Caenorhabditis elegans: one gene and its partner. The protein of the gene in region 1 interacts with the protein of each later gene in a pairwise test. Each region holds a gene or a part of one and is shown in the gene's direction. Other genes may lie near its edges.

Region 1 (7,944 bases):
TAGTCATTTCTGTGGAGTCTAGTGCTTAGAAACAGTTTAGTTCAATTGAGCAAAAATTTGAATAGCTGAATCGATTTAGAATCTAGTTGGTTCAACTGGTATATTTACAGTTAATAGCCAAAACAACAATAATTGAAAATCTTAACTATGTATTGTTTCATAGATTCATAAACTTGATGTACGTTAATTCATATCAAAACGGAGACGCTGTCATTTCATCAAACTATTTCCAGAGAAATAGTAGAGTTCGACGATGGTGGTGCAGCTGGAATAGACTGGTTGATCCCTGAAGGTGCTGATGACACCACCCCAATTGTCGTTTTCTTGCCGGGAATCACAGGAAGTACTCATGACAGCAGCTACGTTCTCCATCCTGTCAAAGAAGCAAGAGATAAGGGCTGGAAGTGTGTGGTCGTGAACCCACGAGGACTTGGTGGTGTTAAGCTGAGAACTACTAGGACGTACAATGCCGCCACTCCACATGATTTTGCGTTCATTGCTAAGATGATTAATGAAAGATATCCGGATGCAAAGAAGCTGGGATGCGGGTTTTCCATGGGAGGGTGAGTGTAGTTTAGGAGCTAAAAAGATTCAGCAACACGCTTATTTTCAGAATGATTCTCTGGAACTATCTAGCGATGACTGGAGAAAATGCAGATCTGGACGGAGGCATGATTGTTTCTTCTCCGTGGGATCCCCTTGTTGCTTCTGATTCTATTGAATGCTTTATTCCACAACTTATTTTCAACAGCTTTATTGCAAAGAACTTGGTAGATATGGTGAGACCGTAAGTTTTGATGTTTTTTCGTTTATATTAGTAAGGTGTTTATTTTTAATATTTTAAATCTGATGACTTTTAAACAACAAACGTAGTTGGTATAAAAAATTGGCATTGAGAAAATTTGAGGAGACATGAGCAGGCCCTGTGCTCAAAGAGCTGGCAAGCTTCTCATTAAGTGATTGGTTTTTGCGCGTTAATTTGAAGCAATTCCTTTACGCCCAAATTTTTAGTATTTCCTGCTAAGCTATTAATGAACCAAACCCCTGAGTTCATAAGTAGCTCCCACAATTCCAGGTACCGCGAGCTATTCAAAGATATGGTGGATTTTGACGAAGTGTGCAGATGCAATACGGTTAGAGGGTTTGATCGATCTTTTGTGATTCCCATGTATGGGTTCAAGAGTTGCGATGACTATTACAGACAGGCTACTTTGGCGACAAAGGTAACATTTGAAACTTGGTTTGTAAAAATTTGAAAAATCAATTTCCAGGTAGACAAAATCAAGATTCCATGTGTAACACTGAATTCTGTTGATGATTATTTCAGCCCGGTGGAATGTAAGTTTTGGTTTGAACAGCTTTGAAAACTAATGTTCATATACAAACATGAGTGCTTGCTACGTTTCTCTAGTTCATAATTAGACGTGTTTGCTCTACGGTAATAACAGCAACCGACACATTGCGGGTTGCAAAAAATTATAAAACGTGTGGAATTTTTATGAAATATATATTAAATATGTAATTGAAAAGCTAGTTTTCTAATTACATTTTTTAAACAAAATACCAAATTTAATAATTATTCATACATTTCCCCTATTTAGGCATCCCTACATTAGATATAATGGAGAGCGACTACGTTTGCGGTATTATCACCAATCACGGAGGACATACTGCTTTCATGGAGTCTGCTGATCCAAATGCGCGCGGAATGGTGGAAAAGTTGCTCTCGCAATGGGGAAATATGATCTTCCATGATTATTCATGAGCTTTGATGGATTGTGCAATGTTTTCAAATTATACGTATTATTTTTGTATTATTAGGACTATTACACTTTTTGAACAATATCAGGTTTTTCAGTACATCCCGGTTTTTTATTATTATTGTGATTTTAATTTAATTTTTTAAATGTGCAAAGAGTTAATGGTTGCAGATATGACTAGATGAAACTCTTTTTTTGTCAAATAAAAACTTCAAACACGAATTGAAAATAGTGTAAAATTAATATTTGGCTGCAGTTTCATGTGAACGAAAAATTGTGTTATGTCCTTCAAATTAGAACCAGCCACCTTGCATTGAATAGTCATAAATCTGTGAAGTTTGCGTTAAGCTGGAGCTTTGGTAAAACCCTACCATAAGTACAGGGAACAATTTTGAAAAGCTCTGATACGAGTTAATTATTTTAGTACCAGCCGTGGACCGCACCTACGGCGCGGCCCCCGACTTTTTTGAGAAAACACATTAGATATACGGTGTCTATCGCGGACCTCGATCGATGTCTGCTGCGCATTTAGCATAAGGTTTCCCAAAATTTCGTTGCTCTGATCGGAGATCAAACTACATAGGGACAGAAGGACACGCGCTTTATATATAGTAAATGATAATTGTTGTCCTAGTACATCACGCATACGGATAATAATTCTTATACATATTTCATAGACTTTTGTTCAGGACCAAGTTAGTATAATGAAAAATTGGAGAAGATTCAGTTTTCTTCAGATTTTCTCCGACAGAATGCAAATTCTCCTGCTCTACTTCTGCTCCACTTTTCCACTTTTTCCATCTTTCCTCACTCTCCACAGCCTTCCTCCGTCTACGTCTCCACTAGCCTAGCCATCTCTCAAAATCGATGCTGGCACTGGACACTCACCCGACGCGGTGACAGAGACGGCCGCGGCCTAGAGTTCTCCATTTCTTTTCTTTTACCATATGTTTTTATACACGTTGGCCACTAGCTCTTTCTACTAATCAACCATGGATCTCGTGCAGTCAAGCCGAAAATTGATACAGGACATGATCCAACTTGCCGGCTCGCAGATGAAATTACTACTTATGGATGGGGAAACAGTGAGTTGATTTGAAAGTGTAAAAATGTAATTATTCGGTTAGGAAAAATAATTAAAACTTGTGTCAAAAAGTTATACTAAAACGTAAATTAACAACACGTTTTGCAAATTTTTCAGTAACATTTATGTCTATTTTTGAATTACTTAATCTAACAAAATAATAAATAATAAATATAATAAACACTTAAAATATAGAGGAAATCCAAAAATGAGCAAAACGTATTGTATATTCACAATAGCCTAAATGTTTATTATGAATTTATATCAGCTATAGATTTTTAATAAAGTTAATGCTTAGATTAGTATGAAAAATCATATAAACATACAATTTTAAATGATGAGTAGTTTTTTCACACGTTTTCAAATAAAATCAACGCTAAATTTTTTTCCAGACTCCAACAGTGTCATGCGCATTTGCGCAGTCGGAGGTGATGCAAAAAGAAGTTTATATATTCGATAGAATTGAGAACAAGACCTCATCTGAAAACATCAAAAACTTGAAATGCGTGGTATTCGTCCGGCCGACACCCAAAAATATTGAGCGACTGGTGAAAGAGCTCCAGGAGCCAAGATTCAGCCAGTACTATCTTTGTGAGTTTACAGAAAAAATACTAGTTTTCAATGAATATGCTTTTCAGATTTTACAAACACAATCAACAAATATGATGTGAAGCGGCTGGCTGAAGCAGACAAAAATGAGACTGTAAGTAGTACTTTTTATTATGGACAGAACTAATTTTCAAGCTGCGTGATTAAATTATGAGAATCAGAAAAAGATTTATTGCTTTCCGACAATAACTTAACGATGCAAAAAACTTTTAAGCAATACTAATACGCTATAGGATATGTCAATAGTGTATTTTTCAACAAATTCCAGGTGCGTGAGGTTCAAGAAGTGTTTCTAGATGGAGTTCCTATTCGTAAAGACTTGTTCACTCTCAACTTGACACACATCTTCGACTCATCATTCACGTTGAAAGAAGAAGCCGCTGAAAGGATCAAGTGCGGAATTATTGCGCTATTGTTGCAGTTGAAAAAGGCTCCAGCTGTTCGGTGAGAGTTTTGAAATTTCTAATTTGAAAATTGGTAAAGGATTGCGGACATTGACCTTTTTTTTGAAATTTTGGTTATTTATTAGTCATGTTCATGCTTTTTTATAAAGGTATCTCAATTTAGAGAGTGTTCGCAGCTTTTAATTCTAAAGATTGATTCAATTTCTCTAAAACTGATCCCTAAAATATACGATTGAGAAAAAAAATTCATTCGTTTGTTTTTGTCTTTGGTCTACAAGTAGTATCCAATTGCGTGACTGCTTTTGTTTTTCGTCTTGTACCCAATTTCCTTGTTCTAAACAAAAAGAAGTCTTTACCCCAACAATACGATTGTATGATAAATTAATTTGCACATATACATACATATCATAACTATCGCGCAGCTGAAAATTGGCACTACATCGCTTGAGCAGAAGTGTGCTGCAATCAGAAATTTTTGGCAATGCTTGTAATTGTTAGACATAACACGCTGTAGTTTTGTTTTTATTGTAATCTGGGAGCTGCTACATGCGAAAAACTGTATGCAATTGTCACTACTTTGTTGCATACTTTTACAATGTTTTTTTTTCAGATACCAAAAGTCTTCACCGAGTTGCAAAAAAGTGGCCGATGATGTAGCACAATTCATTCGCCGGGAAAACGGGCTTTTCGAAAACTCTAGAGCTGACACCACTCTTCTGATTATTGAAAGATCCCAGGACGCGGTGACTCCTCTGCTCAACCAATGGACGTATGAAGCGATGATCCATGAAATGCTCACATTGACAAATAACAGATGCACATGTACTGATCAGAACATTGTGCTCAGCGAGCTTCACGATGAATTTTTTGCGAGAAATATTACTGCCAACTTTGGAGAAATCGGGCAAAATATCAAGACGTTGATCAGCGAGTTTCAGGAGAAAAAGCATATTAACAAGAATTTGGAGTCGATTCAGGATATGAAAAAGTTTGTGGAAGACTATCCACAGTTTAAGAAGATCAGTGGAACAGTGTCGAAACACGTCAGCCTTGTAGGCGAACTTAGTAATCTTGTTCAGAAGCATAATTTATTAGGAGTCTCAGAGGTAATACAGTTTAAAAAAACGTGTCAAAACGTAGAAAGTGGTTTCAGGTAGAGCAGGCAATTGTGTCAGATGGGGATCATGGCAAATGTATCAATCTTGTTCGAGGACTGCTGAAAAATACGAAAACCAGAGAAGTGGTGAGTAACAGTAACATACACCGCAAAAAAATCCGGAATGAACATTTTTAGATTCTGAATGCCAAAACAAACACGAGAAAATACTGAGATTTGTTATCGCAAATGACCAATTACCGTATTTCCTTTATTAGTCTTGCATGCAAAACTAATTTTCAATTGGTCCGTAGGGGTGCAAGACTAATAGAGGCTGCAAGACTAATAGATGAAATACGGTATATATTTTCGCCAACGTGGTGCTCAGGAAAGGATTTTGTTTCCTGTATCCTATAATTTTAAGTAAATTCATTAGCTACTTTAAAATTAGATACTACAGCTTCAACAAACTAGGAAAAATAGCTGGTCATTTAGTCAGTGCAAACATAAGTTTGGTCAGTGCATACGCAAATTTTTTTTTTCAAGGCACACAACACTGAAGTGTGTGCTATATTTTTAAAAAATTTATTTTGTTAAATGATACATAGAAGTATATAATTATATTTTTAATTGAATTTAGTTATCACGATCAGTACACCCATTTTCAGGACATCATCCGTCTTGTGCTTCTCTACGCTCTTCGTTTCGAAAACGCACCCGGCAACGAATTAAACTCATTGATCAGTCAACTCAGACCACAGGTAGGCAACTGGTGTATTCTGGGTTTAAAAAAATTTCATGCTTTTTCAGCATCCAAAAATCCATCAAACGGTGTCGACGCTGCTCAAATATGGTGGACTTTCAAGGAGACCTGCCGATTTGTTTGGTGGTGAATCGACTATTGACATTACGAAGAGGTGAGCAACAGTGAATCAGCGTAATCAAATATTTGGGCTGAAATCTGGGCTTAGTTTCGGTTGATTTGGCGGCTTCAGCAATTTCTGATTTGGTTCAATTTTATCCGTTACTAGTTGTCTAAATCAGAATTTCGAATTAATTTTTGTCTACAGTAAGCAAATTTAGCGATTAAAAACTGCTTTATTTATAAAAGAATTACAAATGAGTTTTGCAACAAAAAATATTAATTCATTTGACCAGAAATTTATTGACACCTCTAATAATTTGACAAAACTGACTGAACATTAGTAGCACTAAAGAAAGACTCAAGATTTACAAAAGGTACATGGTATTCTACCTATAATTTTCAGGTTCATCAAAGGACTCAAAGGAGTTGAGAACATTTACACCCAGCATTCGCCGTATCTCAAGAACATGATCGAGTCTTGCCAGCGTGGGAGGCTTGACAACTACCCGCTTCTTAGCAATGAATGGTAAGTTCTAGATCTACTATAATGCTTCAAGCTACTCAATTTTCAGCGACCGAATGGATAATATTATTGTGTTTATTGTGGGTGGAGCCACATATGAGGAGGCGGCTTATGTGAGAAGCTTGAATGAAAAGCGGATGCAAGGATACGGAGGGCCTGCTGTTGTTCTAGCTGGGAGTAGCATGCTAAATACAAAATCGTGAGTATACAGGCTTTAAAATGAAACCACGTCCCCGGTAAAAAATGTTTTGGCTAAGCGGGCAGACATTAAGCAGTAATTCTGTCGTTTTTCGATTAATGGGTATACTTAATGCTATAATACTAATTTCAATTGGCTATTGCATTTGTTATGGTTCTGTAGTGAATGGAAAATAAGTTAAATTTACAGATTCCTCGAAGAGTTTGCCAACGTCGACAAAAATACGGGAGCTGTTCACTGAATATCTCAAAAGTTTCAAAACTTCTCGCAGAGTCTATTTATTGATTTAATTGAATTGTCATCTTTTCTTGTGATATATTGAGCTTCTTTATGAAATTGCTTTTTTTAAAATGAATATGTACTGTGTACAGTGCCACCACTAACGGTCTCCCTATTGGCTCAGCCGCTGTTAAGCCGTGGAGAGGCCTACCGCTTGGCTTTTGAGTAAGTTGAAGCATGTTTGGAAGCTTTTTGATCAACCGAATTTACCAGAGGCATTTACAAAGAAACACTTTTTCAAAAATATTTCCTATACGTGAATTTATCATTTCAAAACCGTGTCGTTTTGAAAACCCAAACACACCCAAAAATAGTGTGTGTCCTTTGCCAATAGTGAATAACAGATATATGCGCTAATTTGCTAACCAAACTGGCGCCGTTTCGTTTATACTGTCAGTGAATTGTAGTGTTAGGTGGTGCGTGACTGGCTGACCAAGACAACAAAAATTCTTGATATCATTCGTCAAGAGAAACAAAACCTTAAAGCGAAACACCTTCGAAAAACCTTTTTAGTGTGATTTATCACTTGACTTCAACTTGAACAATGGACTACTACTTCAAACTTATCTCTGTAGTTTTTATCGTAATTTTGGCTATCCAATCGCAGGCTTTTCCCATTGAAGAGACTTCGCTAGGAAGTATTAATGGTACGTTTAATGCACTGCTACAGTTTTTGAAACCAACTTTGAGCATTGATCAAATTGCAAGCTTGCAATCAGCCCATGAAAACTGAGTGTTTTAAATTTTAGCCAAGCGGTTTGTGAAATTTTTTAACGTTCAGTGTAGAACGTGTCCCGCGCGAAATTTAATTTAGTTAGTGCGACATTTTTTTTGTGAGTGTAAAAATTAAATAGACATACACGAAATATTCTTGATAAGTGCAAAATTTGATTTGGTGAGTGCAAATTTTATCGGCAGCGCAGAGATTTTTGGTCAGTGCATAGATGATTTTTCGAATTAATGTGGAAGCCGTTTGACCGAAGCAAATTTTTGCTAGAGCATAATGTTAAGCCTTTTTGTTCATAGCATAATGTTCTAGGTTAGTGCAGAGGTTGGGAAGTACTATTTATTTTGTAGTGCAGTGATAAATTTGTGTCAGTTCTATTGGTTTCGTCAGTGCAGGGA
Region 2 (7,122 bases), on another chromosome or scaffold:
TATACGTTTTCAAAAATTGCAGAGCACTTCAGAAAATCTAAAATTTTTTAAGTTGATTTTCCTTTATCTAATTTTTCGAAAAATTATTTTAAAATTTTAGCCATTTTTCTTATTTCTTCGAAGAAAAATATAATTTTATTTTTTTCTCATCAACAAAAACACATTGATTTGATCAATATTTAGATTGTTGGATTTTCTCTGAAAAAAATTGAAAAATCGAAAAAAAAAAGAAAGAATAATTGCAATATTTTAAAATTTTGTTTTATATTTTTGGTTTACTAACTCAAGTATACCATTCGATTGAATATTTTATAATTTCAGTTCACTCGCCGGATATCGTATTCCAAATCGTCGAAATTCTGAAAAAGACAAGGATCTGACGAATAATAATAATAAAATCATGCCGATTATTGGGTCAATGGTTTACACAGCTTGCAAAGAATATAAAGATGGAAAAAGTATTCCTGATACTCCAACTACACGAAGATCTGGAAAATCTCGAATGATGAGTCCAGAGTTTACGAAAGAGAAAAAATGTTAGAATTTATGGTTTTGAATTGTTAATTTTGAATTTTAATTTTAGGCGCCAAACTCGAAATTGACACCGAATCTGAGGATGAAATTGAATATAGTAATGGCCATTCACACCGTGGAACTTCTTCAAGATGTAAGGGATTTTTATGTATGATTTATTGCAATAAAACCTATTTTATTCGGAAAATATATCTGTAGCATAAAATTGAAAAATATCACGGAAATTATTTAAGAGATTTTCTAAATTGTTCCTCTATAAAACTTCGTTACTTCATCAATAATTATGATCCTTTTTAAAATCATGAAGATTGTGGGATCGATGCTAAATTTTTCCTTTCGAGTGAAAACTGAAGAAATTCCAAATTTTGACGTAGTAAAAAAGTAAGATTCTGAAAATAAATATCGATGTTCTCTGACTTTTTTATCTGAAACTATTCTTAAAATTAAAAAAATTGAACGAAATTCCAAGTTGCTTAAATAATTTTTTGTCACTCGAATATTTTGAATTTCAGTGCATTCTCCTCGTCAAGTGAAGAAAGAAAGAATGGATGATGAATACGAAAAAATGGCAAACGGGCATTCTTCGTTAACAAACGGAGTGAATGGACACTCTAAAGGACCAACATCACCAAAACGAAAAAATGGAGATATTAGAAGTTACTTCAGTGCTACACCAAAACCTGCAACAACAACAAATACACGAAAACTTAGTGAAAATGGATCAGAGGACATTGAAATGCCATCAGATATTGAAGATTTTGATGCGAAAGCAGTTGGTTCTCGAATAGTTGCAAAATTAATTGCAGGAGGTATTCTCCCTGATTCAAGTGCTCATATCTTTGAGCAAATGACACAGGAAAACTATGAAGATGGAAATAGTGCTGGAGTATCAACAAAAGTTGAAATGAGTGAAGAAGGAAAAGATGATGCAGAAGATCAAGAGATTGGAGAACTTGCAGAAGAACTCCAAAATCTCCAAATGAATCTAAAAGAAGAAATGGCTGCTAAAAATGCTCTTTTCATGTTAACGTGGCGACGAGCTAAAGCTCATTTTGCTTTCTTCCACACGTTTAATGAATTGAAAAGAGGCGATTATGATGTAAGTTTTTTTTTATTTTTAAATTTAACTATAAATTTTAATCGTTAGAAGTTTTCAAGAACTAGCGAACTTAAAAAGATTATAAAAATTTTGAATAAATTATAATTTTTTTTGGTTAATGAGCTCAGGGCTGCCGATCTTTTAACCGGAGAACGCAAATTTTTCGGTTTTTCAGAAAATCAAAAAAAAACATTATGGTTCCCGGTTAGAAAACGTGATGTTTCTTGCTGCATCCTGCTGCATGGAAATATATTTTTCTAAAGAAACCCGAAGATTTTTCGAATAACCGAAAATTTTCGTTTTTAAGTTTTTCGATTTTTTAGTCTTGCTTTAAAAAAACCGAAAAAACCGAACATTTCTTTAAATATTCTTATTTTTGCATTAAACCAACAACGTATTTTCACATATTTTTTTGTTGAATGTTTTCTCGAAAATTAAGATAATTTGAAATTTTTTAAAATAAATAATTTACAGTTATTCAAACTTGGTGTCAACATGTATCGCGACTTCCCGAATCGAAAACTTCCTGGAATATCAGAAACTATTCTACTAAAACATTCACTCCGAAAACGTAATCATCTTGCTCGAACCCACTACAGTAAAATGTATCGTCGCCATCCGAAATTCCGTTGGCATCGTGACCATTTGCCAGCTGGAAGACGTATTGATGCCTGATAGTGTATATCAAAAATAATTTATTTTCAATTTTTTCTGTCAAAAACCCAATCATTTTCTTTCAAAATTTCATATGATTTTGCTTTGTTAATTTTTTTGTTTCGACATGTCTTTTTTTCAAAACGAGATCTCCAAAGTAACATTTTTGTGTAAAATATTAAGATTGTAATATTTATTTTATTATTCTATACCCGGGTCCCTTCTTTTCGTGTTCCTCTCTCACCTCCCAAACAGATCCGAAAAAACTTGAATTGAGCCCCCAATTATTTCAAATCAAAAACCGAATCATATATCATAGACCATCAAACATTATTTCTTTTTCCATTTATATTTCTTTCATGTATTTTCCAAATTGCACATTCTTCAATGACGGTCCTGCTCTATTGCGATTGAGATGCTCTCAAAAAAAGTGTCTTTGGGTAGCACAATAAACGACGAATTTTTGAAAATTGCTAATTCTGTAAATATCATAATTTATTTCTTACTGAGCACTTACACATAACATATCTGAACAATAAATATTGTTTGACAAATAATTGATTGCTCTTCTTCTAGTTGTTTTTGGTTTCTGCCATTGTTATTATTGACGTGGCAGTGCCGATTTTATTCATTTACGAGGAGGAGAACGACTACTTTATGTCGTCCCGTCTGCGTCTCTTCTGAATAAATATCACCAATTCGCTTTTTTTTTCTTGGCAGAAATGATTGGAGCAACTGGTTCAGGTGGAACAGGAGGACATAATGATGTGGTTAGACAGGTTAGTTGGGTTTTATTTAGTTTGAAAAAAGTGAAAAGAGTACTGTAATTTCAAATTTTATTGCTGCGGAATTTTCATAGATTTTTTTAAAGTTATGCTTTTTAATTTTTTTTTTTTTTCAATAATTTAATATATTTATTATCAGCGAAAAACTATAAAAAATTAATTAAAATTTCTCAGAATAAAAATTTAGGAATTACAGTACTCTTTAAAGGCGCACAACTGTTTGTATTTAACAAAGATTGTCGTCTCGAGACCGGGTACCGTATTTCTGGAGCCAAAATCACAAAAATTGTGAAAAGGATAGCAAACTCGAAAAACTGAAATTAAAAAACTAAAAAAAAAGAAGAGTCATTAATATTTCTAATTTTCAAAGGGTTTCATCTGTCCATTTTGTATGGAAGACTTTGGAGAATACGAACGACTCATTTGCCACGTGGAAAATGATCATCCGGAAGAAGATAGCAGTGATTTGGCTGGAATGTTTGTGTCAAATGTTAAGGGATTTTTTGATAAAGCTAAGCGAGGAATTCAGAAATTGGATGCGAAGAAAAGTATCGCAGATCTCGCAAGTGTAAGTTTTGGCTGAAATAACAAAATATTCAATTTTAAATTTCAGAATGTCGAAACAGAATTCACTGAAACTACTGAAAAGCTTGTCGAAAGAGCACCTCTTCCAAGAATTCCAAAACCTCTTCCTCCTGATGAAATTTTACCGGGAACTCGGAGATCAAAAACGAGAGAATTCTTATCAACAAGAGAATTAAATATAAATGAAGTGGCTGTTCGAACGAATATGCTTATTATCAGGCTTGATAGGCTTATTAATGGAGGACCAAAGGATAAGGATCCAGTTAAAAGAAAAGGTATAAAACCACTTTTAAAAAAATTGATGGATAAAAAATTTCGATATTTTTTATTAAAAATTCTCCCGAATTTTCCAAGTAATCAAATCACTAAATAAAATCATCACTAAAAAAAATTTTTTTTTAACACTTATAAAATTTTCCAATTTGAAAACACATTTGAAAAAGGTTTACTAGTTTCAATATCCAAAAAAAAATAATATGTGAAAAGTTTCCACTTTCAATTTTTCCGATAATCTACTCAAAGCATATTAAGCTTCTCGCGAGAAGGTTGCTTCTGCCAAGTTACACATCCAATATTCCAATAGTTCTCAAAATAACTAAAAATCTAAAAGTTTTTTATAACAATATCCAATACACTCGTTTCCAACAGAATTTGAACGAGAAGTTGTTCCATGGTTAGATGATGCTGAAGCAGTATGTTGTCCATTGTGTGCTTCTCGATTCGGTCTCACTAGACGACGTCATCACTGTAGATTGTGTGGAAGGGTTCTTTGTCATTCGTGTAGCAAATTTCTTTCGTTTGACACTGCAAGTGAGTCATTTTATTTAAATTTCAATTTCAAGGGGTTATCAGAAAATGAGATTTGTCGAATAGTTTGCAATATATAAAATAAATTTCAGAAACACTCACAAGTTCTTCAAATCCTCTCGGGGACACCCATATAATTGTTGAAGAGCCGAATACTGTAGAAAATGAACAAGAACTTCTACAACCGGAAGAAAATGGACGTAGATCATTTTTCTCGTTATCTCAAAAATCGATGGATAAGATGAAACGAGCAATGGCTGGAGCTGTTCAAAAAGTTCATTCTGCAGCAACTGGAGAGGAAATTATAGCAGGTGCACTAAATGAACAAGATCTTTCTGAACATATGAGAGTTTGTAATCTATGCCTTCGAGATTTACATTTCCGAGAAAGTCAAATGGATAAAAAAGAACCGCCAGAATTTGTACAACAATATGATCTAATGAAAGTAATGATTGAGGAAGTGAAGAATCTTGTGCCAACTTATGTTCGAGTTGTCACCAGTTTGAAGTAAGATTATAATTTAATTGAATAGTTTTTGTAATTAATATTCTTTTTAGAAATGGTGAATCTGTATATAGTCATAAACATGGTGAAGAATTACGATCGAAATGTCTAGAAATTCAAAAGAGTATAGATTATGTTAGCAAGAAAATAGCGGAAGGAGCAAATGATAAACCGAATTCTGCAAAAGAGCAACAATTAAGAAAGAATATTCGATTATATGCAGTCCAAGCTCTTCAAGGTCTTATTGGTCAAATGGAATCCCTACCAACAGCCGAAGAATGCTCGAATCTGATAATAAAAAGAAAAGAAAGACGAGCTAAGGATTTTGCAAGAGTAAACAGAACTGTGATGAAGATGTCAAGTTCAATGCCACAACTACAGGAACAACATTCACACTTAAACAGTACAAGCAGTGTATCTTCATTTGGAGGCCCATCATCGATTGACGATGGATGGAGTGCGGAAGATAATGATCTGTAAGTTTAAAAAAAAATTTTTTAGAATCATATTCTGAACGTTTGTTTGCATATTTTTATATCCATATGCAAAACTAATATTTTGAGTACGCAGAAAAAAGATCCGCTTTTGAAATCGACGTGGAAACTCGCTTCATAGCAAATTTGAAACGCGCCGCCTCGGAACCATGGGTCTCGTTAGGTATCTGTAAAACCGTAAACCCTGAAATTTTTTAAAAAAAACCTCATTCACTTTTCATCTTCACATGTAACTATTTTTAAAAATCATTTCGGCATAAAAAGCATTAAAACATGAAGAAAAGACGAAAAGTTTGAATTTACGGTTTTGCCACCGAATACCTAACGAGACCCATGCTTCGGGGGCGAAGCTTTTTAAAACGACCGTGAAGCGCGTTTCTACGTCGATTTCAAAAAAGTTTTTGCGACCCCATGTAATAGCTACGCCTTTCTTGAAGTGAATTCGCCAAATTTTATCGCTTCTTTTGAGTTCCAGAGTATTCGAGCCGAGTTCAATCGAAGATGATACAATACAAACGGATCATCCCTTGTATGAGCAACGAGAACAACTTCGGAAGTTTTTATTTCAAGCATCAGCAACAGGAAAACTCGATGAGATGGACATCTTGGAGAGAAATCTCAAGGAAATTGAAGAAGAGATGATGCGTCTTGGACTTTCATGTTAATAATACAATCCAGTCAATTTAAAGCACGCGATTCAAACTGTGATATAATATTTTTCTATTTGCATATTTATGATTTTTTTAAATATCTGTGATCTTCAATGTTTCCTTTTTTAGAAATTTCAATTTTGCAATATATTCTGATCTTTGAATAAATTTTACATTGTAGTTAGATTTTATTCATGAATGATTGTATGCATTTCAAATGATAGAATAATAACGACCCGAAACGACGAAATGAGACCAATTGGAAAGTAATAGGAAAAAGAATATTAATAGAGTCCACCACGGCCTCTCGATCTGAGAATTGAGTTTAAGCTGGGCTGTGGTCGCACTGGAATGGCTATTCCGTTTTCATCAATGAATACTTCATTTATTTGTTGGCCATATGTCCAACGACGGGGAATTACCTGGAACAAGAAATATTAGAAACCGAAAAATAAGTATGTTGCAAAATATAATTTTGACTTATTTCACGCATGGTTTTACAGTTAGTTAGTAATTTTTTGAAGCGACTTTTAGAAGACGCTCGGATTGGCCTCACTTACCGGCCTTCCTGCAACTGACGCAATCGGGCGTATAAAACTTTTGTCTTCAATATGAATTCTGGATATCGAATCAGATTCTATTCGGGCTTCATCTGGATATGGACCAAGTCTTGTCTGTGTTCTACGCTCCTTTAGCTTCCGATACAATCCTTGCATAGTCAATGAAGAACATTCTGAAATTTATTTGATACTTAATACATACTTATTTTATTTTAAAATTTTATCTTTTTGACCTATTTTGAAGATATTCTGCTAAAACCACCACTTGCGGAAGTCCTACTAGTACGAAAACCAATGTAAATGTGTAAATTCGTTTCAATTGACTGTGACCCCTTCCTGCTTCAAAAACATTTCATAAATGTCAGATTCTGAATATAAATCTAGTTACGATGACAGATCGGTTTGATGATAAGAAATGATTGAAATGATGAGATGAGACTTTGTACGTTT

The links. The genes of interacting proteins can lie anywhere in the genome.
Region 2: the proteins of vps-45 (region 1) and rabs-5 interact in a two-hybrid assay, tested with the Caenorhabditis elegans proteins (one study listed by BioGRID).

What each region holds. Positions count from the first base shown.
Region 1 is NC_003284.9:969,561-977,504, reverse strand, and holds vps-45 (Vacuolar protein sorting-associated protein 45), read left to right. Parts: upstream 1-2,656; 5' UTR 2,657-2,752; coding exon 2,753-2,845; intron 2,846-3,236; coding exon 3,237-3,435; intron 3,436-3,482; coding exon 3,483-3,547; intron 3,548-3,721; coding exon 3,722-3,897; intron 3,898-4,467; coding exon 4,468-4,963; intron 4,964-5,010; coding exon 5,011-5,100; intron 5,101-5,621; coding exon 5,622-5,714; intron 5,715-5,763; coding exon 5,764-5,870; intron 5,871-6,221; coding exon 6,222-6,344; intron 6,345-6,390; coding exon 6,391-6,540; intron 6,541-6,729; coding exon 6,730-6,781; 3' UTR 6,782-6,922; downstream 6,923-7,944. Other genes in the region: Protein abhd-3.2, read left to right, coding at 234-563, 614-787, 1,076-1,223, 1,272-1,338, 1,602-1,765; C44C1.6 (Neuropeptide-Like Protein), read left to right, coding at 7,364-7,466.
Region 2 is NC_003282.8:8,103,486-8,110,607, reverse strand, and holds rabs-5 (FYVE-type domain-containing protein), read left to right. Parts: upstream 1-3,007; 5' UTR 3,008-3,009; coding exon 3,010-3,066; intron 3,067-3,442; coding exon 3,443-3,640; intron 3,641-3,685; coding exon 3,686-3,932; intron 3,933-4,305; coding exon 4,306-4,467; intron 4,468-4,556; coding exon 4,557-4,971; intron 4,972-5,021; coding exon 5,022-5,444; intron 5,445-5,931; coding exon 5,932-6,127; 3' UTR 6,128-6,283; downstream 6,284-7,122. Other genes in the region: Y42H9AR.4 (ELM2 domain-containing protein), read left to right, coding at 322-536, 584-667, 1,047-1,633, 2,108-2,308; Y42H9AR.5 (FMRF-Like Peptide), read right to left, coding at 6,397-6,534, 6,673-6,845.